Alligator mississippiensis: one gene and its partners. The protein of the gene in region 1 interacts with the protein of each later gene in a pairwise test. Links are inferred from orthologs where the notes say so. Each region holds a gene or a part of one and is shown on either strand. Other genes may lie near its edges. The genes, in order: TRIM42, KLHL38, YWHAQ and HOXA1.

What was found.
Region 2: the proteins of TRIM42 (region 1) and KLHL38 interact in binary tests that used the Homo sapiens proteins (3 or more experiments, as listed by UniProt). The two-hybrid records come from large-scale screens. The link is inferred for Alligator mississippiensis from reciprocal best matches to the Homo sapiens genes TRIM42 and KLHL38.
Region 3: the proteins of TRIM42 (region 1) and YWHAQ interact in binary tests that used the Homo sapiens proteins (3 or more experiments, as listed by UniProt). The two-hybrid records come from large-scale screens. The link is inferred for Alligator mississippiensis from reciprocal best matches to the Homo sapiens genes TRIM42 and YWHAQ.
Region 4: the proteins of TRIM42 (region 1) and HOXA1 interact in binary tests that used the Homo sapiens proteins (3 or more experiments, as listed by UniProt). The two-hybrid records come from large-scale screens. The link is inferred for Alligator mississippiensis from reciprocal best matches to the Homo sapiens genes TRIM42 and HOXA1.

What each region holds. Positions count from the first base shown.
Region 1 is NC_081830.1:46,934,882-46,942,427, reverse strand, and holds the start of TRIM42 (tripartite motif-containing protein 42), read right to left. Parts: upstream 3,009-7,546; 5' UTR 2,897-3,008; coding exon 2,532-2,896; intron 525-2,531; coding exon 1-524.
Region 2 is NC_081826.1:20,462,936-20,470,380, forward strand, and holds the start of KLHL38 (kelch-like protein 38), read left to right. Parts: upstream 1-4,439; 5' UTR 4,440-5,386; coding exon 5,387-6,736; intron 6,737-7,445.
Region 3 is NC_081824.1:31,109,730-31,117,331, forward strand, and holds the start of YWHAQ (14-3-3 protein theta), read left to right. Parts: upstream 1-4,598; 5' UTR 4,599-4,711; intron 4,712-5,014; 5' UTR 5,015-5,091; coding exon 5,092-5,385; intron 5,386-7,602. UniProt on the Homo sapiens protein: Adapter protein implicated in the regulation of a large spectrum of both general and specialized signaling pathways. Binds to a large number of partners, usually by recognition of a phosphoserine or phosphothreonine motif.
Region 4 is NC_081828.1:156,072,958-156,080,784, forward strand, and holds HOXA1 (homeobox protein Hox-A1), read left to right. Parts: upstream 1-4,819; 5' UTR 4,820-4,982; coding exon 4,983-5,637; intron 5,638-5,822; coding exon 5,823-5,906; intron 5,907-6,119; coding exon 6,120-6,475; 3' UTR 6,476-7,567; downstream 7,568-7,827. Other genes in the region: HOXA2 (homeobox protein Hox-A2), read left to right, coding at 47-786. UniProt on the Homo sapiens protein: Sequence-specific transcription factor. Regulates multiple developmental processes including brainstem, inner and outer ear, abducens nerve and cardiovascular development and morphogenesis as well as cognition and behavior.

The DNA of each region.
Region 1 (7,546 bases):
CTTGATCTTCTTGATAGGCTTTGGTAAAAATGTGCTCTTGAGCAGAATCATCTCTATGATATAAACTGAGACATTCTTTACAAAAATTCATTTGACATGTCAGACATCTTTTGGATGCCTTTCTTTTCTTCTCTTTGCAAGCTTGACAATAAATTGATGTCTGAGTTCTGTCAAATCTCCACCTGATAAGGCCATGTTTCTGCATATATCTCTTAGCCAGTTTGGCTCTCAGTAAATTCTTCTTCAGCTGAATTTTATTAGAATAGGGAAGGCAATGTGCTTTGTTACACACTGGGCATATGAGAATGAAAAAGTTCTCAGACACTTCAGCCTTGGCCCTCCTTTTACCTATGCAATCCCCACAAACACAATGTTTACAGGGAAGCATAAATGGGTGGAGGTACAGTTGTTTACACGCTGGACAGGTGAGTTGATCACGAAAACTATGCCCTGAGACATCCTTGTCCAGTGTAATGACAGATGTATCACTTGTAGTTCCAGGGCCTGGTAAAGACAGCCTTGAACTGAAAAAGAAAGAAACAAGATCTTCTCAGCTTCCAAATGTTCATTAAGAAACAGGCTGTAATATATATATATAGCTTTGCATTATTTACTGAAGATATCTTACACTTTAAATATGGGTATGATCCTCTATTCCCCCAGTGAATACTTATGAATAAGCTTTTTGACTGTCTCTACTTAGCCAATACGTATGAAACTATCCATTTCAGTTCCAGCATTTATATTGCAAGCATTACACAAACTAACACAAACAAACATCTGCATTTTGTTTTCTTATTCCTTATTTATAACCTGTGTATTTCGTTACATTTTTATAAAGATATGATACAAATAGATAGACAGGAAACAGAATATGCAATAAGCAGATAGTTCATTGGGAATGAGCAGAATAATGGATTTCTGGGAGGTTTGGATAGCAAGCAGGAGGAAAAAACCTAAAGAATATTTTTTCCCTCATTTTGGGATTTCCCAGCATTTTGGGATTATTTTTGCTTTAAAATGGGAAAACCTGAAATGTTTTGATTTAAATTGAAATGTTTTGCATGATTTTTTTTCTTTCAACCTGAAATGAATTGGTTTGTATCATTTTCAGGATATCCTAGTTGTTTTTTTTTAAATACTCCATTTTATTATTACTATTGTTGTCAGTTTTTAAATGAAGAATGTTTTGCTGAAAGTAAAAGTCAGAATGTTTCATTCTGAAAGTATTAAATTGAGAGTTATTTCTTAAAATACATGCTTTAATTAAAAAATATCAAAACTTTTTTTTAACATTTTCAACTTTTTTTATTAATTATAGGTTTGGTCTGTCTGGAATTGCATTTGTCAGTAAACTTACTATACAGTGGAGAAGAAAAGAAAACCCCTTGCCTATCTTCCATCTCCTGATTTTCATGCACAGCTTTCTTTTTATTTAGGAGGGTGGTAAGAATTGGCCTTCCAATGTGACCCTGGGTACTGGTTCTAGATTTTTAGGGTTAAGACTATCAAAAGTTGCTTGTAAGTTTTCTTGCACTTGAGATACACAGCTTGGAATGCCACAAAGTTACCCAGTTTTCAGAAATGTTGACCATTTATAGTTTGAAAGTCAAGGCTATTTTAATATGTCTCCAGTCAGGTACACAAAAATCACTATTCATTTTCAAAACTGTGACCAACTGTCTCCATAAGCTATTCTTAAAACTGCGTAAAAAACATCATGCACAACTAACAGACACAATCCCCAAACTGCCTCACTTGCCACAGGTAAAGCTCGGGGACAAAGGGCACTGTCAGTATCCTGCCACAACAAGCACAGGAAGTAATTGTTAAACACAAGACGGATCCAAGGAAGAGGGCCTATGGTCCCTGCTATAGAAAGAGGTATGGAGGGAGGTAACCCCCATCCACTCCACATACATGCAGTGCCCATGCTGAGCTGTATGGTAAAATTCCTTTCTGATCTCAAATGTGGTGATTAGTCTGACCCTGGGTTGAGGAGTAAGACATTCTCACTATGAACCTCCAGGATTTTTAGTCCCAGAAAAAAGCACTGACACAGTCATGTATCCCTCCATGTTTGAGCAATCCTCCTCCATCCTCAGCCTGCCTTAGTCAGTAGTTATGTCTCCATTTTAATATATGCTCTTCAGATGAATCTCTAAAATTAGTAATACTTTTTTTGTAATATTATTTCTTCTTCCAATTCTCTTCAGAGCACTTTTTAAAAAATATATTTGGTTTTCTTCCTCTTTCTCTTCCCCCTAACTATAATCCTTTCCCTCATTTACAATTGATTAGCACTTTACTCTCTTTAGTAGTCTACTTTGTTGTTTTCTTGGAATACTCCACACTTTTTCCTTTCCTCTTTCTTGGTTTGGCTCAGTCTGGCATTATCACTATTTCCAGCCATGTCTAACACCTTGAGAAAAAGGTGCCCAAAATTTTGCCCCTAAATTCCACAGAGCTAATAGACCATAATATAAATTTAAAAAGAAGGAATTTCAAAAACAGGCTTTGGTTTCACTTACTGATTTCTCCTTGGGATTCTTGGATGGTATGGTGAATGGGCAACATTTCTGCAGCATGTGCTTTCATAACACTGACAAACGGTATTCTCATCGGTGGCACAGCAGCAACACTTACAGTCTTCATCAGTTGAGAAAGAGCAGCAGCACCAAATACAATTTGGGTTCTCTGAACATGTGCAATGGCAACACTGGCAAGATCGATCTTCATGGTAAGCGCAGGGAAAACAGTTGCAATTCCGCTCTTCAGTAAATAAAAAACGCCAACATAAGCAGCATTCTTCTTCTTTTGTTAAGATCGGCGGACAGCAATGGCAGCCTGGACAACATGGCCAAAATAAGCAACATAAGCATAAAGTCCTGGCCATCACCCTGTAAGACACTTAGAAGACCACTTGCCAAGCCTTTCAGCGTGTCCTCACTTTATGTTACACAGCAGCACTCCCCTCTTCAAAGCTTTGTGCTTTGGAGGAGAGGTGGATTTTTTTTCTCTGGTTAGAGACTAATAGTGACATCACAAAGAGATTCCAAATAAGGGCATGAACATGGCCATATTTGCACATGTACATTACTCACTTGATTATCTTTTTATATCACAGTTGCTAAGCATTGCCTTTCAGGTTTCTTCCACTGGCACTAAACACTAGTATATCTAAGCTGGCAAATTCACGTATTGCCCCAACAGCCAATGCAAGTTATGTAGAATTCTGGAACATGTTGAAAATTTGGAAGCAGCGTGAAATAAAATGAATTTGATATAAAAATAAGTAACAATTAATATTTCACTGGTTGTTCAAGTTCATATTTAATATGTGCAAAATATTACATATTCAAATCACATGCCCCAGAATTTCTTGTGTGCCAAAGAATCCCTGGGGTTTTGATGAAAATTTTAATTCCACCTTACCACAGAGAGAACATAGAGACTTTTCGCTTGCTTCCTTCGTGGTGGGAGAAAGACATTTTATGGAGTCTTCTCTTTCTCAGGGCAGGTGACCTGTTGATACACCCTAAGAAACAAAGCAGTGTTGGTTTCTACTTTTCTACCTCACCTACTTCCAGATTCTCCCTGTCCTTTTCAGTCAGTGATTAAATAGCTTCAAAAGGAATACATGATAAAAGAAATGCTATCTGCTTTTGCAGAGGAGACACTTTCAGCATTTATCCATTTGTATGATCCCCATTTATTTCAAGAGCTCATTCAATGCCTTATTTTGAAATTTGTTTTCTATTGGCCTAGATCCAAGAATAATACCACAACTTACTTTCCGCCGTGTCACATGTATGTGGCAGGAGGTGCATCAGATCCCATTTTGCTATGTTGCCAGTGGAGGAGGAGCCTGAACCAGAGCTCCCCTTGCCTCAGCAAGTAGCAAGCATGGCTTCAACACATCATGTACATGGTGCACTTCCAGGCTGGGAGCCCCAATCAGCTGAGGTGCCTCCCAGTGTCTGGAGCATACAAGAGTCTTGACAGGCTCCCATGTGCACTAGAGGCTGGCCAGTGGCCACACATGCAATTAAAGGCATAAAAAGAACCACCCATAAAATTATTACACATATTTTATGTAATCATTTTGTGGCTTGTTCCTGATTTTATCATGCTATTAATTTATTGAACGTGTGGCTAGGTCACTACTTAAGACATGATTAACCAGTTAATCATGTCTTGCATGTAAAATCTCTCCAGGGCCTCAGTAATAGTATGTATCTACATTTTCCTTGGCCAGCTTCTTTTTCTCCTTGTATTCACTTCTCCTTTAAGTATTCTATTGGCCAAAGCAGGATGTCTTATAATGTGGTCAAACCAAAATTTTATATTTTCCAACATCAGCTGTAATATCAGTTCTCAGCTATGAGCTGAATACCTGAATCAGCTCAACTATGAGCTGACACTATAAGCTGAGTATCTTTAAGAGCCATCTACAGCACTTTGTTTCAAATGCTTGCATGCACGTTTCTATAGCTACATTTCAGGTGCAACTTTAGACACCAAAGCTTAAAATATAGATTCTCCAAAATACTGCTCAGCTGCTTTCTAACTTTTGAGTTGCCTACAATGTGAAAGTACCTATATTTCTGGTACTGAAGCTTCCTAGAAGCCTAAAAGTCTTCTTCTGGGCATGCCCAAGAACACCTCAGGCTTGACAATAACAAGTGGCTCAGTCAGCACCTATCTTAGGCATAAATCAGCATTCATGAACTACAAGTTCCTTTGCTTCTCTCACTAGTAGTCATTCTCAGAGTACACCTTTTGTATCAGACTTCTCCAAACTAGCCATGGAGTCACTGATATGGCCCCTCTATGAAAATTACTGTGCTAGAAGAGCAGGAAAGAAAGTGAGTATGATACCTCTGCCTACTAGTTAGGATACTCAGCAGGGAAAATTATGTTCTATTGAATATTTAGCATAAAATAGGTAAGTCAGGGGCTCACAGGACAAAGGAAAACCTTGGGTTCAAGTTTTTACCTTACTGAATATTTCACTATATTATGCTAAATATTTAGTAGAGCAGGGGCTAGAACCCTGCTCTCTCCTTCTCTCTGAGAATGATCTATGTGACTGTAGTCATTTTCCATCTCTTTTCCTAGTGCATGATATAATGGAAAGTGGAATAATTTCAACAGGACTGTACCAGAGCACCTCACTCCCAGCCATCCCAAAGTGCCAAAGAGGTTGTTAATTAGATTATTATTTTGGGAGGATTAAATCCTCTCAGGTAGACTGTCCATTGATGCTGATATTTGTTGAGGGATTTGACCAGGATAGATTAACCTGTACTGATGCAGCTATATTCCTTCTGGTTCCCATGGTAGACTAGCTGCCACTATACAGCATTGCACTGCAGCGTGATGAAGGAGATCAGTGCTTATGATCCCCATACCTCAGAAGTGGGATCCACATTTTCCAAAGAGATAAGCCATGTACCTTTTTGAAAGAGGCAGGTTTGTGAGGCGGGGAGAACAGGAAAATATTTTAAACTGATTATATGTGAAGCTGTGTGATAGTCACATATCTTCCTAGTCAGTAATTACTGCAAAAGCATCCCTGTAGAGCCAAGCACTGCCAAGCTTTCATAAGACAATGGGTTTCTCTTGAACAATGTCTTGCACTCTCTCCTCTAAGGACTGACCAAAGGAATTATCTGAAAGTGATATAACAGGGTTGCACTGGCGCCAACCCTCTCTCATGGTAGTCTCCAACAGTTTAGGCATAGAGTTTTTTTAACTTCACTGAGATTACATCAATGCAATGTGATACAGCATTTTTCACAGATTCTGTGCTCATTGGTTTGTATTAGCCCACTTCAGACATTTATAAATCTTTATCTTCTCAAATTTAAACTATACTGTTTACTTACCTTAGGGAGTGGAAAGGAAAACATAAGGGAAAAAGTTAACTTAAAACATTAAAATTGTATTGGTGCCTCACTTGAAAGCCTCTAAGCATCACACACTAACAGACTGATACACTGATTACTACAAAACTATTGACACCAGTTACCACGCAGTTGCATTTAGGGTTGAGTACTTTATTCCTCAACTCAAAACTGAAAATAAGAGTGACCACTGTATGGTAGCTGTTGGTGAGTGTTGGCTTTTAATGGTGATCACTGTACTTACTGTAGGTAATTAAGAGTTTCTTTAAAATGCAAAATATTCATTAGCTTGGGTTAATCGGTTAATGCCTAATTTGGGAATTATTAAGGCACGCATCTTGGCATACTTTATTGTAACAGCTCCTTTGTAGCCATTAGAGCCTATATGCACAAAACCTACTCTAGTTAGAGAATTTTTAATTCCCTGATCCATAGCCCAATAGACCATAATGGCTCAGTCATTATAGGCGGCCATTTACATGATGGACCATAATAGAGCCTTTGGAATGGTTATGGGCTATTGTGTCAATGAAGTAGAAGTACTACGTCTGTGTATGAAAAATCTTTCTAGAATATTTGAGCAAAATAATTTATTGCAAATACTCAGACCTTTAGTAGCTGTGGGTTTTTACATTTTATTTCCCCAGGTTCCTTTGATGGCTAAGCTTTCTTTTCTCTTCTTTGTGCATATTTAATTTAGAAAATTAAAACACTTTTGAATTCCATGAGCATGAAAGCATATCTTGTAATACTAATGCTTGCTGCTTTTTTCAGTCTTATAATTCAGATATTCCTAAATAGATATTTTAAAAAAGAAGGGAAAAAAAAGCAGCTACTCATCTTACGTGTCAAGTTTCAGATCAAAGCAAAATCTTGATATGACAAGATTTGATTGCTGCAACCAACTCCTGGATATTTATTTCCCCGCTTTCTAGCCATCTTTCATGCCTGTCATTCTGACCAAGATTCCCCATTCTTTGATTCTCTGTAATACATTCTCCTTCTCTGCTGCATTATTTCTCTTGTCTTTGTCTTCGGATATATTTTTCACTGTTTATCTTCATCATCTTTTATTGTTCTACATTGTGATATGCCAGTGATGATACCTTTTCTGTTACCCTGTTTATATGCTGCTTCTCCAATCTTCTTTCATTTTCTTGTTTCTTATACTCTGTGTATAGACTACACTGCCTTAAGACCTTTGCTTTGATATGCAGCAGGTTTAGAGACTGACCCATTCTTTTTTATCCACGTTTGTTCACCATTAGCAGATACTAAAACATCTAATCGCTCCTTTTGCCAGAGCAAAAATTACAGTTTTTCAGCAACATGGTTTGGCCAAGAGGCCACTTAATGATGAAAGTGCACAGCAGTTAAACTATGATTTTGTTGGTTTCCCCAATTCATGGGCTTTACCCTGCAAAGTTCCCATAGCTCCCATTGGCTTCACAGAGGCACATTCATGCTAGAGCCCTCACGTGCTTTTTGTACTCCTTTGATGTACTCCTTTGTACTCCAGAGATGGGCAGATGAGAATAGGATGGAATTCAATGCAGACAAGTGCAGGGTACTTCATCTAAAGAGAAGGAACCAGCAGCATACCTATAGGCTGGGAAACATCCTTCTCATCAGCACAG
Region 2 (7,445 bases), on another chromosome or scaffold:
CAGATGTGGCTGGCTGCAGGGAAGAGATACAGCGTGCTGTACCCTTTGAAGAGGTTTCCCAGCTCGGTCTCTGAAGTCCAGGGAGCTCCATCTCCCTTTGTGATTGTGGGTACGGCCCTGCACTGTCCCCACACAGGGCTGTGAATTTGGGGCACTGCCTAACCTCCAGTTAATTTAGCATGTTTTTATGTTGGATACTCAGCAGGAGAATACCACCTGGGGGACAGTCATTAACATGAAGTACATAGCTTAACAGAGGTTTATAATACCTGGAGCAGCGTGTTTTGCCCGCATGAAAATAATTCTGGGAGATCAGGAATTGCAAATGGTGATGCCAAACTGTGGTTACCATAACAGTGTGGTGATTTTGACTTGGCTCTGCCTTTTCGGGACTGCAGCAAATATAAGGACCTTCTGACCAGTTCTGCTTTTGGCTTTAACATCAGGTCATGTAAAAGACTTTTGTTTTTCTTAATAATGAACAGGCTAGTCTGACCTTGTACTGGTACTTATGAACCAACGGTGGATACAATGCCATCCCAAAGAAAGGGGAAATTGTTGAGCAGCAACAGCAAAACACTGCAAATCGGGACACCTGGGTTATATTTCCGTGTCTGACGGAAATCAGCTTGTGGAAGATCACTTGTTGTGTGATCTTCCACAAGCTGCTTCACTTCAGTTTCCCTATCTGCAACCTTCACGTTCCTCCAGGAAGCTTAACTGACTAAGGTTTTTAAAGATAACAGAAGCCTTTGCACAAAAGGTGCTATACAGCTGCAACATCTGATCTCTGATGGCCTGCTGAGTAACATGAAGCACTGCGATAAGAAACTGTCTGGGCACAGGGTTCTGCTGGAATGAGCTCCAGGTAGAAAAGTCCGCTCTAAGGCAGGAGAGGTATGTCCAAGAGCTGTCTTAAACCCGCTTAACAGTTTTTCCTTATGTGGTGAACTCAGTCCAATCAACATCTCCCATGCTCAGTCCCACACCTTAACAGGTAGGATACCAGGACTTCCCCACACCTTTCCTTAAAATAGAAAGGTCTCATCACAAAGTCCTGGGCTAGGGACAGACATTCAAAAAAAGTTTGGGTCCCTGCCAATGGGACAGGGAGGGGGGAATTAAACCCTCTCTGGCCAGACTTCCACCCCTGCCTGCCCCTGCCTGTCTCTGCTCTAGCTGGCATGAACGCCGAATGCCCCCAGAGGCTGGGGGGGGCATGGCGACCACCCACAGGCAGCGGCGGAGGTGGCATGGTGGTGGTGAGTGGGGACCACCCGCAGGCAGCCGTGTTGGGGGGGGCAAGCACTGACCAGCAATCGGCGGTGGCGATCAGGAACCGCCAGCAGATGCTGCTGGCAGTGTCAGCAGCGAAGGGGGAGGGTGGTGAGCATCAGCGGTGCTTTTTGCAGGGGGTGCACCACCAATCTCAGGGGGTGCACGTATACCAGCATGCACCCCCTATGCATCGCCAATGCTGGCTAGGGTGGGGTGGGGTGGGGCCAGCCCTGCTTGGCTGGAGCAGAGAGCCCAGTCCAGAGAGTATGTTGGGATGCTGGTGGACTCTGGTTTAACCAGGATGGAGTCTGGGACAGACATTGCATAGTTTCATAGTTGGTAGGGTCGGAAGGGACCTGAGCAGATCATCAAGTCCGACCCCCTGCCATGGCAGGAAAAAGTACTGGGGTCAAACGACCCCAGCAAGGTGTTCGTCTAACCTCCTCTTAAAGACCCCCCAGGGTAGGAGCCAGCACCACTTCGCTTGGAAGTTGGTTCCAGATCCTAGCTGCCCTGACAGTGAAGTAGCGCCTCCTGATGTCTAGCCTGAATCTATCCTCTGCCAGCTTGTGACCGTTATTTCTAGTCACTCCTGGTAGTGCTTGGGGGAACAGGGACTCCCCCAATGCCTGCTGGTCCCCCCTGACTAGTTTGTAAACAGCCACTAGATCCCCCCTCAACCTTCTCTTGTGGAGGCTGAACAAGTTCAGGTCCCTTAGCCTCTCCTCATAGGGCCTGCCCTGCTGCCCCCTGATCATGCGGGTGGCCCTCCTCTGGACCATCTCCATGTTGTCCACATCCCTCCTGAAGTGCGGCGCCCAGAACTGGACGCAGTACTCCAACTGTGCCCTGACCAGTGCTGCATAGAGGGGGAGGATCACCTTGTTGGACCTGCTCGAGATGCATCTGTGGATGCATGACAAGGTGTGGTTGGCCTTCCTGACCTCATCCCCACAGTGTCGGCCCATGTTCATTTTGGCATCAATAATGACTCCAAGATCCTTTTCTGCCTCTGCACTGATGAGAAGGGAGTTCCCCAGCCTGTAAGTATGCTGCTGGTTCTTCCCCCCCAGGTGCAGCACCTTGCACTTCTCAGTGCTGAAACCCATCCTGTTCTCATACGCCCACCCCTGTAACCTGTCTAGGTCTGATTGCAGCCTATTCCTCCCTTCTAGCGTGCCCACATCCCCCCACATCTTAGTGTCATCAGCAAATTTGAACAGGGTGCTTCTTACCCCCTCGTCCAAGTCATTGATGAAGATGTTGAACAGCGCAGGTCTAAGGACCAAGCCCTGGGGGACCCCACTGCCCACATCCCTCCAGGTCAAAAATGACCCGTTCACCACCACTCTCTGGGTGCGGCCCTCCAGCCAGTTAGTGACCCATCTGACTGTGTAGGTGTCAACGCCACAGCCCCCTAGTTTTTTTAATGAGAATGGGGTGAGAGACAGTATCAAAGGCCTTCCTGAAGTCCAGAAAGACTATGTCCACTGCTACTCCTGCATCTAAGGATTTTGTGACCTGGTCATAGAAGGCCACCAGGTTGGTCTGACAGGACCTGCCTCGAATGAACCCATGTTGGTTGCCCCTAAGCATAACCTCCCCTGCTGGCCCCTCGTGGACATGCGCCAGGATAATTCTCTCAAAAAGCTTACCCAGGATCGAGGTAAGCCTAACTGGCCTATAGTTTCCTGGGTCCTCCCTCCTCCCTTTTTTGAAAATGGGAACCACACTGGCCCTTTTCCAGTCCTCTGGCACCACACCGGAGCACCACGAGTGCTCGTAAAGCCGTGCCAGGGGTCCTGCAATGACCACTGCCGATTCCCTCAGCACTCTGGGGTGGAGATCGTCAGGACCAGATGATTTAAATATGTCCAGCCCCTCCAGAAGTTCCCTGACTAGACCCTCACTGACCCTAGGCCTGGGGTGCACCTCCCCTGGGGCCTGAGGGGGTCCTGGCAGACGGGCTGATCTGTTCCCTGCTCAGGAAAATGGAGGCAAAGAAATTGTTAAATAGGTTAGCTTTGTTATCTGGTGCAACAACCAGATTTCCTAACGTGTCTTGCAGAGGCCTCATGTTACCCGGTACCTTCTTTTTGCCCCCTATGTATTTAAAAATGGACTTCTTGTTGTCCTTCATCCGGGTCGCTAGTCCCAGTCCCATCTCCGCCTTGGCCTTCCTGACCGCCCCCCTGCAGCCCCAAGCTACCGAGATGTAGTCCTCCTTGGTGATGACCCCTCCCTTCCATTGGGTGTACGCCTCCCTTTTAACCAGGAGACGTTCCCGTATGCTTTTAGTGAGCCACAGGGGCTTTTTCACCCTCTTGCCCCCTTTGACCCTTGTTGGGATTACCTCCCTTTGGGCTTGGAGATCGTCGCCTTAAGGAACGACTGCTCTTCTTGGACACCTGACTCCCCTCCCCTCCCCTCTGGGACCTCAGTACCTCCCCAACTATTCTCCTTACCTCATTGAAGTCCGCACTCCTGAAGTCTAGGGCTGCTGCCTTGCTGCAGGCCTTTGCTACCTTGCGCTGGATGGTGAATTCCAGCAGGCAATGATCACTGTCGCCCAGGTGGTCCAGCACCCGCAGCCCCCCCACAAGGTCATCACCTGTGGCCAGCACCAGGTCCAACAAGGCGTCTCTCCTGGTGGGGCTGTGCACCTCCTGGGTTAGTTGGAGGGCCTGTATTTCGGCTAGGAACCTACGTGAGCAGTCAGACCTGGTTTGAGTTCAATCAGTTATGTCTGATAGTACATTCAACCAGGTTTATCTCAAACTGCTTTCAGCCATTTTGCACCTGGTTTATGTGCACTGAACATTTATTCCGTTACAGGTTTAACCCAGTTTCTGGTCACTTAAACTGGTTTATGTGTAATGTCTGTCCCTAGCCTTGTTGCCCCTGTTTTCTCCTCCCTTCGAATGAAAATACCTAACAGTGCATGACTTAACACTAAACATTTCAGGCTGTTTACAGCCTTCTAGAATTCCCAAGCACTTTAGGACAGGGCCTTGTGTCTGTTTTCAAAGAGACAGGCAGGACATTTATAAGTGAACTTTCATCTTGGTGTCTATTTATTGTACGTAAACATTTGTCAGAAAAACAGCAATTGGGCATGCTCGGTACTGTCCAGGTTGTTGCAAAAGGCAACTGCAAAGTCACATGTGATAACATCGCGAAGTCCACACGCAACTATTCTTAGCCCTGGAATGCAGACAATGCCGTGCTGCCGACTGGCTCTTTCACAGAGCTCCCGCAAGCAGCAAAAGTACCTTGAGAATAAACAAATCCAGAAATCACCCTCCATGAATCACTTACCTACCGAAAGGAACGTCTTGTGAGTTTGTAGCTTTTACTCAGGCACTAGCTATGGAAAATCTCAGCAGAGACTAAACGCCATAGAGTGAGTGAATGCAGGGAAGGACAATCTAAGGTAAACATTTCTACCACGCGATTTCCCTGCAGGTTGAGCAGCTGGGTAGTCATGCAAATTGATAGCCGCCTTATTGTTCTGCCTTGTGCATTATTTAGTCATTGTGTGTCTGATTAATATAAAGAAGCAGCCGCTAAGCAGAGTTAATAAATTGCTATTTTAAAGCAGATTCCCAGTCTCTCGGGTTTAGTTTGTCCTGCTGCAGAGTTTAGCTCTGCCAGATTTACATTCTTTGGGCATGACTAACGCTGAGGGAGAGAGACATAAGCTACTAAACTGTGAATACTTCAAAATCGTGAATAAGTGGCTAAGCAAGTTTATTAGATCTGATTGAAGTGAACAAACCATTTGCTTCGGACTTCTAGCTTTCACTGCAAATCAGCAAGATAACGTTAATGCTTTTGCTTTTTATCAGGCTAATAGAAGAAGCTGACTTCAGAGCTCTAACCCATCTGATAAACTTTAAAAAAAGGGTTTTAAGTGACCTCTTAGGCTCTTTAGTCCTTTCCCACTGTGCTTAACTAGCGTTCCCAATTTTATGTGCAGACAGAGGAAAGATATTTAGAGAAACCAAAGTCCTGATCCCTGGTCACTTCGGAGCAGACATTTATATAGCAGCTGCTAAGACTGTACTATCCCTGCCTAGTCCAGCATTCACATCTATCCTGTTTGACCATGGAGGTGGGCTCTGCAGAGGAATTTCTCTTCAAAGACCACGATTTCTCCTCAGAATTGCTGAGGCAGCTCAATGCTTTAAGGCAGAACGCGATGCTGACTGACGTTACACTGTGCACTGATGGCTTTGAAATCCCTTGCCACAGGAATGTCCTTGCTTCAAGCAGTCCGTATTTCAAGGCGATGTTCTGCAACAACTTTAAAGAGAGTCACCAGGCAAAAGTTGACCTGAAAGGCATTGACTCCAATATTTTATATCAGATTATCCTCTATGTTTACACCGGGGAGATTCTTATCACAGCTGACAATGTTTTGTACCTATTTGAGGCTTCTTCCATGCTGCAGTATGTTAAATTGTTCGAGGCCTGCTCTTTGTACCTCCAAGACAAGTTGACTCCTGATAACTGCCTGAGCATGATCAGGCTCTCCAAAATCTTGAACTGCCAAAATCTCAATACGAAAGCCAAGGCAATGGCATTGAAATACTTTCCTGACGTAGCCTCTTCTGAGGACCTGAAAGAGCTTTGTGCCTTCGAACTGATTGACTACCTTGGAGATGATGAGCTCTGTGGTGAGGAAGAACAGGTTTTTGAAACATTGATGATCTGGATCCGGCATGATCTCCAGGCCCGACAGGGTTACATCCACGACTTGTTCAGAAAGGTCCGGCTTCAGTACGTCCACCCAACCTTCCTCTTCCACTTCATTGCCAATGACTCCCTCATTCAGTCTTCACCCACTTGCAGGAACATCCTAGAGTCAGCCAGAAGACAGATGTTTTCTTTGTATAGCACTAGTGCTCCTGACATCAAACCTCTGTGGCATGTTCCTCGTAGGTATTCATACCAAGAATTCCTCATCCTCATTGGTGGCAGGAAGGACAACCAGCAGACAACCAGAGATGTCCTACTATATGATGAAAAGACCAGTCAATGGCTTAGCCTTGCCAAACTTCCTGTGCGCCTTTACAAAGCCTCCTCAGTGAGTCTGCACAGCAATATTTATGTGCTAGGAGGGAGACCCATTAATGACAATAGAAGCCCAATCAGTGATAACATTTATATTTTCTCCCTCAAACTAAATCAGTGGAGGTTAGTTGAACCTATGCTAATTCCACGTTACTCCCACAGGAGCATAGCCTATAAAAATTATATCTTCTCATTTGGAGGAATTGGAGAGAACCAAGAAATTCTGAATTCTGTAGAGAGGTATGACAGCATTTACAACACCTGTGAGAACATGGCAAACATGCCTGTCGCTGTCCTTCACCCTGCGGTAGCTGCTAAAGAGCAAAGAATTTATCTCTTTGGAGGGGAAGACATCATGCAAAACCCAGTCCGTCTAATACAGGTAACTCCTTGACCTGCCCATCTCATTTTCTTGAACATATTCAGTGCGTCTCACCCAAAACTTGCTGATGAAATCAAAGCCCAATGTTGAACCAAATTATCTTCTGTCTCATGCAGTAGATGGCAAGAAACACATGATAAGTTGGAAATGCTCATTCCATGGTGTCCTATATGAAGGAAAATGGTATTTAAATTCCTTTCTTATTTCCAAAAGAAACCTTTATTATTGTCCCTAAGAGCCTTCCTTAAGTTTTATTTCATCCTTTCCCAGGCAAACTCCCATTGGTTTCTTAGAAAGTCTAAATTAAGCCAAGTGAGGGCTTAGCCTTGACTGATTTTATTGCTTTAGAAAGATGTCATATAGTGGTCTTACAAATAGATGCTAAGCCACATGCCTAATATGTGCATCCATTTGAAGTCAGTCATTCTTGTTAGGACCGTGTCTAAGTATCTGGTTGAATCAAGGACTCAGTCATTGGTCTCTCCACTGACATTATCAGCAAAGGCTCTCTTCATGATGGTGGTTATTATGACTGATTTCCTAGTCACTGGGACCAAGGACTTAAATCATCAGCTCATTTTACACCAGCCATTGGTTCTAAAACTGTGGTCCTTGTTGATGGCCTGCAGATTGCCAGTTGGATACTAGGGCTGTGTGAAGCTTTGGTCCCCAATTCAAATCGGCAGAGATTCGGCCTGATTCGGTGGCC
Region 3 (7,602 bases), on another chromosome or scaffold:
ACACCTGATCCGCTTCATTTGGTGACATCTGTTTCTAGCCATAGATAAGGCAGTTGAATAATGCCCTAGGGTGGTGTTTTCAAACTTTTGAAGTCACAGAACCCTTTCATATCACATCTTTTGCAACGGAACCCCTACCCCAGCTCCGCAGCCTGAGCGAGCTGACATGGAAGCAGGTAACCTGGCCCAGCGGTGGCGTCTGACCCTACCAGCTCACTCTGCCATTACCCCCAGTCTCTTTGCAGAACCTCTGATGACCTGTCACAAACCCTAGGGTTCTGCAGAGCACAGACTGAAAACCATTGCCCTTGGGGACTAGACAATCTCCCTAGCTTTTCTTTTAGGTGATTTATATACTGCCCTCTGATAGAGTTCATATGGAATTCTAGGCAAGTGGCATAAACCAGAACTGTAATAGCACATTTTCTGTGGCTTCAATGGGAGACATCTGGAATGCAATTTGCAGAAGTGCTAAGCCTCACAGCTGTGAGTGAAGTCAGCAGAAGCTGGATAGTGAACAAAAATGGTGCTACAAAACACTGGAATCCTCAAATTTGGCACCCAATCATGTTGACACTTTTTACTTTTCTGGTGGCTTCTAGCCTGAAACATTATTTGGTTAAAAATAATTCTTATCATACTTCACAAGGGCATGGTGAAGATACATTTAGTACTGTCTGTGAGAACCAAGATACTCTGATGCAGCATCTTTGAAAAGCTTGTAAGGAAATTTACAAATCTGTTTTCAGTGAAGATTTTGGATGGTGCACAGTAAACAGTGCAGAAAACTGCATGTTGTGCCATAAGGTTAAAAAGAAATACTGAATTTTTATTCCTGTTCCTATTCTTGAATTCCATCTAGAAATTTCCTGGGTCATCAGATCCAGTCCCTGGCTTCCACAAGCAACCACATCACACAATCCCTTTCATAAGTGCCATCTTAAAAACAGTTAGGATTTTTTTGCCCCAGTACTCCTATTAGGCTATTCCAAAACTTCACTGTTCTGTTCAGAAACCTGATTTCCAGCCTAAATTGATTAATGACCACTTCATATCAGTTTGTCCTTGTGCCCTGCTGTCCTGTAGTTTAAGTAGTTCTTTTCTGTCCCTGGTGTTTGCTTTCCTGATGTGTTCAGAACAATCATTTCCCTGCTAGGCCTTTGTTTTGCTAGGATAAACAAGCTAAGTACTCGTTAGTTTCCTTTTGTGAAGGCAACACATTCAGTGAGGGCTATTCCTCCTGTGCACCATGGGTAGAAATAGAGAGAGTATGTGCTCATCATGTTGGTAAAACTGTCTTGGAATTCAGACACACAAGGAGACTGAATTACTCCAAATGGGCCATGTTAAGACTTGGGCCTAATTTCAAGTAGCTAATCTTCAATCTTAGCCCAAATACTAGATCAAGAATATCACATGATGAACAATACAACATTTGGGAACTTCAAAACCTCTCTAGTGAAGAATTCCGTCAGTTTATGCAGCAACTTTGCAAAGCACTAACTAGGGTAATTAGTCCCTGGGCCTGCAAGCATGTATTTGCACCACCCTTGGTGTAGATTAGAAGCCTTCCTTTATTTTGAATAAGATGATAAAGCATAACTACATTGTCTCCTTACCTCTCCATCTTAGGATCATGCTATACCAATGCCTGTCTAGAATCAACTATAAGAAGGTAAAGTGGATTTGCATCTTATAGACTAACCAAAGAAAAATATGTCCATATAGATATAGCTCTTTGGATAGTCTATAAGGATGTGTTCAGAAGTTGCTTTTTTACCATTTAAAGAGCTTTATTGTTGTGACTTAACAGCAGTGCATGACTTTACAGCACTTTAAAAATGGGTAGAGCCCTTTAAATTAACCCTTGTTAAATGAGATAGTAAATTTGAAGCACAGTATTTTACAGCACTTTAGCAACCTACAGCACTTTAAATAACTTCTGTACTCTGGTCAACTTTCTGACTAATGGAGAAGCCCCAGGAAGCTCAGAGCCCCACCTCCCCAACACTACACTTCTGTCATATTTAAAGGTGCTGTAACTTTTTAGTCCTATAAAAAGTGCTTTAAATTAAAACCTATATGGAGCACTTCTATACACACCCTAAGGTGCAAATTTAGCCTGCCTTCTACTTGACTTCAGGATAACATAGATAACTGTCTCTAGAACCAACTATGCCAAAGCAGGTCCATCAGGGACACCCAAGTTGTATTTTATAACATATATGCAAGACTGGGGGCATCAGCTGCCATAATTAAATTCTGGATGGATGATACTTTATTACTCTTGATTTAAGTGTATGAGCCTGAAATGCCAGTCTTTATCTACTGATCCTGGCAACCTCTTGAATATTAATTCCAGGTGAAACCCATAGAATAAAGATTTTGATTCTTACTCAAGCCAAATGTAGGACTTCTTTCTGCCCTGTCTTCCCTAGCCCATTACCAATGGGATCAAAGAAACCTAAATCAGTACAACCAGGCACTCTGTCACCCAGTCTCTTTATCCCAAGTGCACAGTAAATGTTGCTTTATCTTCTTGGCCATCCTAGAATGGCCCCTGAAGAAATTCAGCTGAGAAAGTTAAAAGCTCTTCTGGCCTAGTAATTCCTGTCTCCTAGTCCACAGATGGAAAATAACCCTTCCAGTTCCTGTCATTAGGTAATGAAATGGAAGAATTTTTCCCATCCCTTTTCCAGCCTTTCGTAATCTTGACCTGCAGGAAACCTCTCTCACTCCAGACTCAGTGAACAGGGCCAAACTCCATCCATCCTGACAATCTCACCCTCCCCACAAGGTTGTGTTTTAACTCATAGCATCATCCCTGTACTACTTGAAATGGGATGACTGGTGACACAGCCTGGCACTTAGAACAGTCTGCTTGTCTCCATTTACTGTGTGGGTCTCTTCCCTTGGTCAAGGGAGAAGGATAAACCTATCCACATAAGTCTCATCCTTCTTAAAACACCTGAAAGACCTAAACAGCTCCACTCAGTCTTGCCCATAGCCGCCACATCCCAGAGTGGGGCCAGGATCTAAAGAGGGTGAGGTTCCTTACTGCTATGTGGAATCTGCCAGTGGGCAGGCTAGGCTTCAGAGAGACCTAGACAAATTGGAGTATTGGACTAAAATAAATTTCACAAAGTCCAATAAGGACAAGTGCTAAGTCCTGCATTTAGGATGGAAAAATCCCATGCACTGGTACAGGCTGAAGGCTGACTGGGTGGGCAGCAGCTCTGCAGAAAGGACCTGGGGGTTACAATGAACAATGAGCTGAATACGAGCCAGCCGTGTGCCCTTGTTGCCAAGAAAGCTAACGGCATAGTCAGCTGCATTAGTAGGTGTGCTGCCATTAGGTCAAGGGAAATGATTATTCCCCTCTATTCAGCACTGGTGAGGCCACATCTGGACTACTGTGTTCAGTTTTGGGCCTCCCACTACAGAAAGGATGTGGACAAATTGGAGTCCAGTGGGAGGCAAGAAAAATGGTTCAGGGGCTGGGGCACGACTTCTGAGGAGAGGCTGAGGGAACTGGGATTATCTAGTCTGCGGAAGATTTAATGGTTTATAAATAGGGGGCGGATTTAATAGCAGCCTTCAACTACCTGAAGGAAAGTTTCCAAAGGGGATAGAGCTGGACTGCTCTCAGTGGTGGTAGATTGCAGAACAAGGAGCAACGGTCTCAAGTTGCAGCAAGGGAAGTTTAGGTTAGATGTTAGGATGAAATTTCTCGGGAGGAGGGTGGTGAAGCACTGGAACAGGTTCACCAGCGAGGTGGTGGAGTCTCCATCCTTGGGGGTTTTGAAAATCCAGCTAAACAAAGGCTTGCCTGGGATGAGGCAGTTGGGGCTGGCCCTGCGCTGAGCAGGGGTTGCACTAGACCAGCCTTTGTCAACCTGGTCCCAGGAATATGTGAAAGGATCAGGAAAAAAAAATTAAAAAATGGATCAAAAAATGGATCCTCCTTCAAAAACGTGGGAAACCGCGGCATTTCCCTGGCAGAGCTGCAGCTGCAAGGGGCTGCTTGGGGGCCCCCTGGCCCACACACTGGGGGACGCGGGTCGGCACTGCCCATCGCTGTTTGCCAATGGGGCCTGGTACAAAAAATGTAGAGAACGGCTGGTCTCTTCCACCCAAATTATGACTCCGTGACCGCTCCTGCCCGTCCTCTCCCGCTGTGCACCCAGCACCCGCCCCGCCGGAGCTGTCCCTCCCTGTGCTGCACCCTGCACCCCCCGCGCATGCGCAGCGCCCAGCCGCAGCACGAGCCGCCCCCGGCCGCGCCCCCGCCAGTCTTATGCCGCGACCAGCGCCGGCTGCCGGGGAGGGCGGGGGGTTGTAGCAGCATCACCATGGCGACAGTGACGTCAGCTCACCCTGGATCTCATTGGAGGAAACCCCGTGGCCCCAGCCGCAGCCCACGGGCCAACCGAGCTTGCGCCCGGCCTGCGCCCGCCCCCGCCGCGGCGCGCTGCACTCCGATTGGCCGGCTGAGCCGCGGGGGGGCGGGGCCCGAGCCGGAGCCGGCCCTCCCATTGGCCGCGCGGGCGCGGGGCTGGCAGCGGGGAGGTGAGGCCGTGCCAACGCCCTTTAGCGCTGGCTCTAGTCTGAGACGGGAGCGGCTCTTTCTCTCCGCCACCGCCCGAGCGCAGCGCAGCGCGGCCCGCCCGCTCCTGGCGCCAGCCGGCCCGGCCCCGCGCAGCCGCTCCAGGTGAGTCCGGCCCGACCCGGCCGTTGGGAGCGGGAGCGCCCCCCCCATCCCATCCCCCCCCCGCGCCGCGCCCTCCATTTTGTGCCGCGCGTGCGGAGTCTCCGGGGCCGCGGGCGCGGGAGCTGCCTCCACGCCGCCATTTCGCGCCGGCGCGGGGTCTTCCCCTCATGTTCCCTCGTGGGGGGGCCGGGCGGCCGAGCCCCCGCCATGCGGACACACGCGGCGGGGCAGGGAGGGGCGGGGGGAAAGGAGGGAGGGGCCCGACTTCCCGCCCGCCCGCCTAACCCGCGCCTCCCCCCGCAGGAGCTGAGGCGCGTTGTCCCGCGGACGGTGTCGTAGCTGAGGCTCCCTCGCCCCTGCCCACCCACCTGCCCGCCACCATGGACAAGACCGACTTGATCCAGAAAGCCAAGCTGGCCGAGCAGGCCGAGCGCTACGACGATATGGCCACCTGCATGAAGTCGGTGACCGAGCAGGGTGCCGAGCTGTCCAACGAGGAACGCAACCTGCTGTCCGTGGCCTACAAGAACGTGGTGGGCGGGCGGCGCTCAGCCTGGAGGGTCATTTCCAGCATCGAGCAGAAGACGGACACCAGCGACAAAAAGATGCAGCTCATCAAGGACTATCGGGAGAAGGTGGAGGCCGAGCTCCGGTCCATCTGCACCACCGTGCTGGTGAGTTTGGGGCGCCGCTTGCTACGGGTTGGGTTGGGGGGAGTGGTCCAGAGGTGGGTGTCATGTACTGGGGGGCCCTGCCTGAACAATGCAGTAAACCTGTCAGACCCAGGGGTGTGAGGAGGGGAGATGAGCTGCATTGCACTCTGACACGTGTGTGTGTGGGGGGGGGGGTTCATGAGAGCCACATGCAAGGCACCGACTGGATCAGGGATGGCAGGGGGATTGGAGCTTAGGTGTGCCTGTGCCTTTGTATTGGTAATCTTCTGGGTGGGTAAAGGAAGACCGGGAAACTATTCTCCTTCCCCTTTTGGTATGGGGTTGATGGTCTGTGAGCACCCGGAAGGCTGGGTGTGGTACCCAAACTGCTGCAGGGTGCTGCACTAGCAGTTACGGAAAAGAGATGGAAGAGTAGAAGACTTAAATGAAGCATGACTGCTCTGTGGGGGGGTCGTGAAGTAAAATATGTGGTATGTGGCACACAGCTTCTTAATTGAAGACATCAATGCAAATCTGCAGAAAACTGGCTGTTGTCACGTGCAGGTATCCTCTTCGCATTGCTTTGTTCCATGGATGCAGTAATAGTGGAATAATGTGGAAGTTGAAAAGGTCTGGAGCCTGAGAGAGGCTGTGGATGAGCGTACAGATGCCAGGAATAGCTGTCTGGCTCCTTGAACAGTGCACTAGACTTTTCTTTTTTGCTGGTGCTAATATGCTGCATTGTGGTAGGGGCTGAATTTGTGTCAGCAGTGCGGAAGGCGCACCGCCCTGTCATATACAATCAATGTAAGTTCTGGCTGCACAAAACTAGATGTGTAATGCAGTTTAGAGTTTGTAGCAGATAACCTTGACCACTTCATTAGCACTAAAATAATAGCGGCTAGTACTGTAGGTATGTTAGGACAGGAAGAGGTGAATAGCAAATTCTTAGAAAAAAAAAAAGAAACAAAAAAGAAAATTACTATTTAATAAATCATTAACACTGCCTAAATAGTGCTAGGAGACCTATATTTAAAGCTAACCATCTCAATAATAATTGAAAATCAAATTAAGTCAGGAGTTCCAGTTCGCTGACAAGGTGCCCCTTTCTAGATTTGTCCTGAAAATATCCATGTGCTTTAGTCTGCGCTTCCTCTTAGACCAATTTTAATTCAGGAAGAAAATTTTAATGCCACAAAGCATTCTTCAGATGCCAAGTTAATAGTTTCATCTTCTGCAATTATAGGCATAGTTAAACTTGTTAAATCTTTACCTTTTTTTTAATAATACCTCAACTCATGTGAAGCATGGGTTTAGACTGATTCTTGTTTCATGTGACAGAATTCCAATCGGAATAGTGTTGTGTTGCCAACATTTGTACTACTAGTGTTCCTCTTGATTTTTATCTTCCTCTCTGTGAACTGGTCTAGCTAGCCATCAGTTTCTTAGGACTTGTGCACACAACCAGTTTTTCAGACTTCTTAAAATGTCCCTCATGCCTGCTTCTGTCAAACTGAATTCTCAAGAGGGGAGGTTACATGCATTTAAACCATTTTCAGTGTTCTAGTTGCTATGTCATATTAACAGAAGACACTCTGCTGCTCTTAGGAGTTCGGGTTGCTCTAGAAGTGAGCAGCAGCGAGCCATTTTAGCCCTTGCAGGCTAAAATTACTCCAGTTTTGGCAACTGGTGATGAGCAATTGGTGTAGCCACACTAATGAAACTCCTAATATGGGGGGGAAGAGGGGAACAATCTTACTTGCCCTGGCTGAGCTTACCCCACTACTGCTGCATTTTTTATTTTTATTTTTTTGTTTCTTGCTGCACTCAGCTGAGGCTTGGCTGGCAGCTGCCTGCTCTCACAGGGCCCCTAAGACTGCAGGAAATAGGGAAGACTGAAACCTATGAAGTGACATGCTTTTCCTGTTCCACAATCAAAGATATGCATCTTCCTGTAGTGGGAGGGGGTGTCTGCTTTCTACTGCATGAACTGAAACTGCTGCTTTCCCTCCCAGCACCATCTGCAGTCCCCCATTCTGTTCCTCTTTCCCTTTCTTCTTGTCTGCCACTACTCTGCTCCATGAGTCAGCAACAGAGAGATTGAAACTGTCATTGTAAAGAACAAATTTTCCAGTGCTTACACATTAAACAGAGCAGCAGCAAAAAGTGCTCTCAAGAGCTGCCCTCTGCTCACCAAAATTTTAATTTGTTTAAAAGTAAACTGTTATCCATAGACTA
Region 4 (7,827 bases), on another chromosome or scaffold:
CATTTATCTGGCGTTGTTTGTTTGCCTGTGTGCTTGCTTTTTGCAGACTCCCTTGAAATCCCCGATAGTGGGAACGGTGGCTCCAGGAGGCTGAGGACGGCTTACACCAACACCCAGCTCTTGGAGCTGGAAAAAGAATTTCATTTCAACAAGTATCTCTGCAGACCGAGGAGGGTCGAGATTGCAGCCTTGCTGGATTTGACTGAGAGACAAGTCAAAGTCTGGTTCCAGAACAGGAGGATGAAGCACAAGAGACAGACCCAGTGTAAGGAGAACCAAAACAGTGAGGGGAAATTTAAGAGTTTAGAGGACACCGAAAAAGCAGAAGAGGAAGAGGAGAAATCCCTCTTTGAACAAGCCCTCAATAATGTCTCAGGGGCTCTTTTGGAAAGGGAAGGCTACACTTTTCAGCAAAATGCACTATCTCAACAGCAGGCTCAGAATGTACACAATGGAGAGTCCCAAAGTTTCCCAGTTTCGCCTTTAACAAGCAATGAGAAAAATCTGAAACATTTTCAGCATCAGTCACCCACTGTTCAGAACTGCCTATCAACAATGGCCCAGAACTGTGCAGCTGGCCTGAACAATGACAGTCCTGAGGCCCTGGATGTCCCTTCTTTACAGGACTTTAACGTTTTCTCCACAGATTCCTGCCTACAGCTTTCAGATGCAGTTTCCCCCAGTTTGCCAGGATCTCTGGACAGTCCTGTAGATATCTCTGCTGACAGTTTTGACTTTTTTACAGACACACTCACCACAATTGACTTGCAGCACCTGAATTACTGAGAAAAGTCAAGACCTCCTCTCGCCAAGGGTTCTGCCTTCCTTTTTGAAATGACTTAATTTTATTTTCCTTTTTCCTGGTCAGTATTTTCTGTTTCTTAATTCCCTTTGCTGTGTTTGAGAGCCATTTTACCGTTTCTTTTGGAGTTTTAGTTGTGTTCAGTTTAACCTAGCCACATCCTAGGTCCTTCTATGAAAGCAATATCTGAGGCCTGTAAGAAAGTGATCATATAGAATTGTATCGTCACTTTCTTTTTATTTTTGTATTGCATTAGGATGCGTTGTCATAAGTATTTTTGGTAGAATAAATTCTTGTTTGCTACAAGTAGCTTTCTCTTTTTCTTCCACCCTCTTTCTTCCTCACCACTGGTAGTCTAACGGGTCTGCTGCTGCTGCTTTTTTCCTCCTCCCCCTCCTAATCTAACTTCGGAAATAAAATTAAACAATCCGCTCACAACCTCTCTCCTTTTGGTAAAGTGACATATTTATTAGAGAGAAAAAGCACATTCCAATTCTTTATTGAAAGGATTCTTACAAGCAATAATTATTATTATTATAAAGCCTGCGCTCAAAGCTTACACAATTTCCTCCTTTTAACCTGGGCATATCTCGAAGAGCTTCTATTATCTGCGTGTGAATACAAATTTCGGGTTTTCTAGACTGTAACAAAACAAAAACCAAAAAACCCCAAACAAACAAACGTGCAGCTCTCTCCGTTACAGACCAAATGTAATCCATAGGAAATGGCAGGAATGCTTTGCTAGAGACACTGGCCTCTTGCTGTAGTAAAAGGCTGGGTTAGAAATTGCTAAGCTAAACCTCCGTGCGTCCAACAATTCGTTTTAAGGAAAACTTCTTTAAAAATACAAGCACAGTGCGCGATTGCTTAGCTCCCATGTGCTGAACGCGTCCGAGAAAACAAACCTACAAAAAAAAAAAAAAAAGGAAATAAAAAAAAATACAAGTGTTATTATTTGGGGGTGGGGGGGATAGGACTGCATTTCGGAAGGCTGTAGACTGTGCTAACGCGATTCCTCCCGGGGCTCTGCGGAGGCAGGGAAGGAGGCTTTTTCTCCATAAACCTCTTTGCGGTTGCCAAACTCTTGCTTCATTCGTTTAAATTTCAATGGAGCCCACTCAGCAGCCCGCTGCCCCATTCGTGGCGCGGTATAAAACCCCCACAGAGGATTGCATTGGAAGACCCGTCGATATTTTTAACACAGCCGAGAGTGCTAGGGCCAAAAATCAAGCAACAGATGGTGGCAGGGAGAGTTGCGGTTCCCAGAGCCAGGCGATGGCGCGGATCCCCGTGTGTTGTGTCTGTGCGCGGGGAGAGCTGGCCGGCGAGGCGTCCAGTTGCGCGGGGCACTTTATGTCCTCTGCCTGCGAGGAGGGTGGTTTCCCCGCTCTGCAACACGTTGTGGAGCTGGGTCGCGTGGGTAATGCCTAGAAGGGCTGGCCGCGATCCTTCCTAGCCTCATAAATCAAACTCTCTCTCTGAATGAGAATGTCATCAAAGAGATCAATTGCAGGAACACATGCACAAATAAAAACCCTCTTACGTATGTGCCGGGGCTGGGGATCCCCGTCTAAAACCATTAAGTTAGAAGGCGTTTAGTCATAATTCATTTTTATTGCTCTTTTAAAACAACAGCTTGGCTGGGCTGCGGGTGCGGCACACCTCTCCGGCCTGCTCCTGCTCCCTCTCCCTGCTCCGGCTCTCTCGGCCCAAAAGGGGCTCGCTCCCTCGCCTGGGGGGAGGATTTTAACTCCTGTTTAGCTGGACTCGTTCAGCTCCCACTGGACCGATGCCCTGCAGGCACCCCGGGCCTGGAGGTGGCCACGTCCTAGTGAGAGATCGGCCGCCCTGAACTCTCTTCCCCGATCGCTTTGCAAATCAATACATCTCCGCGGAGCGATTGTCTCCCGGGGAAGCCCTGAAAGCTGCCTGGGCGCTGGGGGCAAAAGACGGGGGGTGGGGAGGTGAAATGGGGAGAGCGTCAGAGTGGCGCCTAGGGCACCGGGAGGGCAGCAGTGGCTTGGAGATGCCCCCCTCGAAACCTTCTGAGATCTAGGGTGAGGCTGGGGGCGGCGTAAGGGGGAACAGAGCTGGCATAGAGCCCTGCTCTGAAGGCTTGTCTCCATTTGCCCCTACTCTGCCTCCCCCACCTCATTGTGCCGCGCTGGAGCAGACACAATGTAACAAAAGGGCGGATTTCTTCCCCACCATGGCGAGGAAAGCGAGGGCAAGGCAGCCGGGCTGCGGCGGGGGTGTCCAGCTGAGAGAGGGACTTGGGGGTAGCAAGTGATGAAAAGCGGGGTAATGCCTGGGGTGGTAGGGGGGAGCCAGCTCTCCAGTAAGCGGTCCCTGTGGCTTGCCTCTGCCCTGATCTCCACCCAGCTGGGGCAGGCAGAGGAAGTGCCCCTCCAGCCTTTTCTGGAGCCACAGAGGCGGAGTGCAGGCCGCCTCGTGCATCTCAGGGAATCCCCTGCTTCGCCCCCCCGCCCCCAAGCCAAGAGTGTTGAGCAACTCAATGGCTCCAAGCGGCCCTGGCCTGTTCATGGCGGTGCGGGAGAGCAGCCCGGAAGGGGGAGGGCGGCTCTTTTGTGCCTAGCGGGTGGAAGGGAGACATCTACCCGCTTCCCAGTGGCAACAGCGGGGCTGCGGGGTGCAGGGCGGCGGGCGGAGGTGGCCGCACAGGGGCACAGACGGCTGTGGAAAGCCGATCCCGGGGGTGTGGGGGGTAGTGGGTGAGGGGGAGAGCCAGGGGGCAGGAGCCTTTGAGAGTGAAACCAACAATCGGGCAGGGGGCCAAGGCAAAATAAGGCAGGGCTGAAGTGCACCTGCATGCCCCCTCCCCCCGAACCCCCCCCCCCTCAGGGCGGACTTGGCAAAGAGGCAGCTGCAGCCTCCCCCAGGGCACATCTCTCTCTACGCATCTCCCTGGGGCTGCGGCCGGGAGAGGGGTCCTCTCCCCGCGTGTGCATTTGAGCACGCCCAGGCACAGGCAGGGGAGGTATCCACACCCACGCGTGGATCTACGGCACCTGGGCCCTGCTTGTCTGCATGTGCCTGTGGTAGCGCACTCACACACCAGTCCCCATCCCCACCCCCGCACACGGACCCGGCTTTCCCTAGCTGGACAGAGGGAAAGTTTGAGCCCATCTTGGGGGGGCGTCCCCCGGGAGCCTCCGCCACTGACCATCTGCTGGCTCCCTGCGCTCCCGCCCCATGACAAAGCGGCTCGCAGGCTGACAGGGGCCCCGCTCCCCCCTCCCCTCCCCTCCCCTTCCCTTCCCTTCCCTTCCCCTTCCCCTCCGCCCCGCCGTGTCATCCGGGGCTTGCGTCTGTCTGCGCCGCGGAGCTGCCCCGGCAGCTGGGCTGGGGCGTGCGTGTGCACGCTTGCGGGGCTGAGCGTGGCACAGCCCGGCCCGGCCCGGCCACGTCGGCAGCCCCCCTGCAGCTGGCGGCTGCCCGGGCACAGGGAGCCCCGCGGGCTGCCAGGCACCTCCCGCAGCACAATGGCGTGCGATGACCCAGGCGCCTCATTGCCATGCTAATGTCCGCGGGCTGCGCAACCCCTTTAACTCTTGGCGGCGCAGCGCGGGAACACTCCCCCCCCCCGCCCTGCCCTGCGCGCAGCCCCTGCCCCAGCCAGCTGGGCCCCGCGGAGGCTGCCGCAGGATTGGGGAGGGGAGGGGGGGGGTGCTGGCTGCACTGACAGCGCCAACAATAGCAACCACGCACCGCCCCGCGCCCGGGGAGCGGGGGGCCCGCAGCGGCCCCGGCTTACCTGGCAGGCGGCGTCCTCCAGCCCTGTAAATCCAGGCAAGAGCAGCCCCCCCCGCGCCCCCCCTCCGGAGGCTGCTGCGGGCTGAGCGCCTGGGCGCGCACTGTCTCTCCGGCCCCGGCTCGGAAGCCCCAATGCACAGAGTGGGGGGGCGGGCGGGGGAGGGAGGTGGTGGTGGCTGCGCGTCACCTTGATGGAGGAGCGCTCGGGATTTAAATGCCACTGAAACGGTGATCCATCACCAGCAGGAGCTGGGAAAGTTTAGCAGGAGGCGCAGCCATTGGCTGCGGCCCTCACGTGTCCCCAGCTCCCTGTGCATCCATCTCGCTTTTCTCCTGGCCCCATGGAGGAGGTGAGAAAGTTGGCACGGGCACCCGGGGCGCGGAAGACCCGGTCACTCCGTGACAGATGGACACGGCGAGGATGAGCTCCTTCCTCGAGTATCCCCTCCTGAGCGGGGAGGCTGGGACCTGCTCCGCCCGCGCCTACCACCACCCCGAGCACGGGATTACAACTTTCCAGTCCTGCGCGGTCAGTGCCAATGGCTGCAGCCCAGGGGACGAGCGGTTCCTGGTGGGCAGGGGGGTCCAGATCAGCCCCCCCCACCCGCACCCACACCCGCATCCGCACCACCCCCAGGCGGGCGCCTACCAGCACCCCGGCAGCCTGGGCATGTCCTACTCGCACCCTAGCTGCGGCCCGGGATATGGCAGCCAGAACTTCAGCGCGGGGTACAGCCCCTACTCCCTCGGCCAGGACGCAGATGGCAGCGGCGGGTACCCCCAGTGCGCGCCCGCGCTGTACTCGGGCAACATCTCCCCTCCCGTGGGCCAGCAGCACCCCCCCCAGCACAGCTACGCCGCGGGCTCGGCGGGGCCCGCCCAGTACATGCACCCCTCCTACGGAGCCGAGCAGCAGAACTTGCCCCTGGCCGGGTACAGCCACCCCCTGTCCCCTCTGCACGCCAGCCACCCGGACACCGCGCGCTCCCCCTCCGCAGAGACCTCGCCTCCAGCGCAGACCTTTGACTGGATGAAAGTGAAAAGAAACCCACCTAAAACAGGTCAGTCGCAATCAAAGTTTTGTTTTGTTTTGTTTTGTTTTTTGGTGGTGGTGGGGGGATTCTCTCCTCTTTCTCTCTGTTTTGGAGCAGCAGACACAAGGCAGAGCGCCCCCCCCCCCCCCCCCCCCCCCGCACCTGTGCTCCCCGTGGCCTGCTGTTTATCTGGATTTTTATTTTTTTTACAGGTAAGGAGATCTCCGGCAAGGCAGCGCGGACAAGTTCACCCCTCTGCCATCATGACAGTCCAGGCTCTTATTTCCGCCCCCGTGGTAATATGTCTTGCGATTCATAGCCCACTCATCAGGCTTCCTTTGACACTAGTGGCTGGCTCCAGCTTAGCACGACCCACTCCATCACTCACTGCCGGGCTCCCCCGCATCCCGAGGAGTTCCTGCTCCATATCGCTCTGCCCGTGTGTACACATTGATTATGTCACCTCTAAATCATCGCACTTGCTTAAACTTGCCCTATGCTTTTCACAGGGAAGGCGGGAGAGTACGGCTACGTGGGGCAGCCCAACACGGTGAGGACCAATTTCACCACGAAGCAGCTCACGGAGCTGGAGAAGGAGTTCCACTTCAACAAGTACCTGACCAGGGCCAGGAGGGTGGAGATCGCTGCTTCGCTGCAACTTAACGAGACGCAGGTGAAGATCTGGTTTCAGAACCGTAGGATGAAGCAGAAGAAAAGGGAGAAGGAGGGCTTGCTACCCATTTCCCCGGCTACCCCCACGGGATGCGAGGAGAAAGCAGAAGAGTCATCAGAAAAGTCAAGTTCATCCCCGTGCACCCCTTCACCAGCCTCCTCTACCTCAGACGTCCTTACTACCTCAAACTGACACATCCCTGGGCCCCACCCTATAGCTACATCTTTAGCGTACCCTCATTGATTTAAAGTAAATATATATTTTTAAATATTCGGGTCATCCTGACGTTCAAATAACTTGTTCCGTGAGCATTTGGGTTTAGAAATACCCTCGGCTGTTTATTTAATGCAGAGCTAAACACAATGGGTTCTAATGTCAGTTTTTGATGACCACTTAATTAACTAGTCCTACATTCATTCCTTACATTCCAGCAGGAGTTGTGAGTTTTTTTTGTTTTTTTTTTTTTGTCTCCTTAGCACATTTATAAGGGTCTCCCTGTTTCCGGAGAGCCAAATTGCAAGGATGTTTCTATATTTTTTCCCCTACAGAAACACAAAGCTATCGAGAGTACATGACCTCATGATGAGATGCACTATTGAAAGTGTTTACACGAGTTATAGAACTTTCATCCATTAATTTAATGCGTTCTCTTTTTTCGTGTGTATGGGTTTGTTGGTTGTAAATACTTTGTCCAAGAGATTTATCTTTTTACAGATTTTCTAGAAATGATGTTTAGATTAAGCAGGGTGGGTACATTCTCAAAACTGGATCCAATTTTATAATGGTAAACCTGATGATATCAGTTAAATTTGCAATCAGATACCTCGAATTGTAGCACCATTTTTTTTTATGAGACAGAAGAAGGCTTCAATTGCACTAGGTTTTGTAAACCTTACTGGTGTGCTCCCCCTCTCCTCCCCCTCCAGAAATCTGTGCTGGATTATATTGGACCTAAAACGGTATTTTATCCCCCCCAAAAGACCTCACCTATTCCTATTTTCAAAGTAATCCTTCCTTCGAGTTGATGTCTTTTCAGCCTAATCGTAAATGTGATGACTGGCCAAATGAATGTATATTTTCTGTGATTCGTGTATGGAACTTTGCATGATGCACAATGCTTTGATGTACTGAAGGTACACTGAGTTCTATCAGTTGTCATTTGTGAGCTAACTATCTTTCTGATTTACAATCATTAAAGGTTCTGCGGTTCTGTGAGTGATGGAATCCAGAGCAGAATTTACGGGTCCTAAAATGTCTGTAATAAATATATTCAAGTTTCAGGTACACGTTGTTTTAGTGCATGTGTGACGTCATTGATCACCTACCTAGTTAGCTTCCTTATTCTCCTGGCGTGGCCTTCGAGACGCTATTCAATAAAAGACCTTTCTCCTACTCATTATTTTGCTGAGGCCAGGACTCTTGTGTGTCCTTTCCACAGCGCCCAGTATGCGGCATCGCACCAGCCTGGGGGGTGTGTGTGTGTGTGTGTGTGTGTGTGTGTGTGTGTGTGTGTGTGTGCGTGCGTGCGCGCTCGATGACGACAA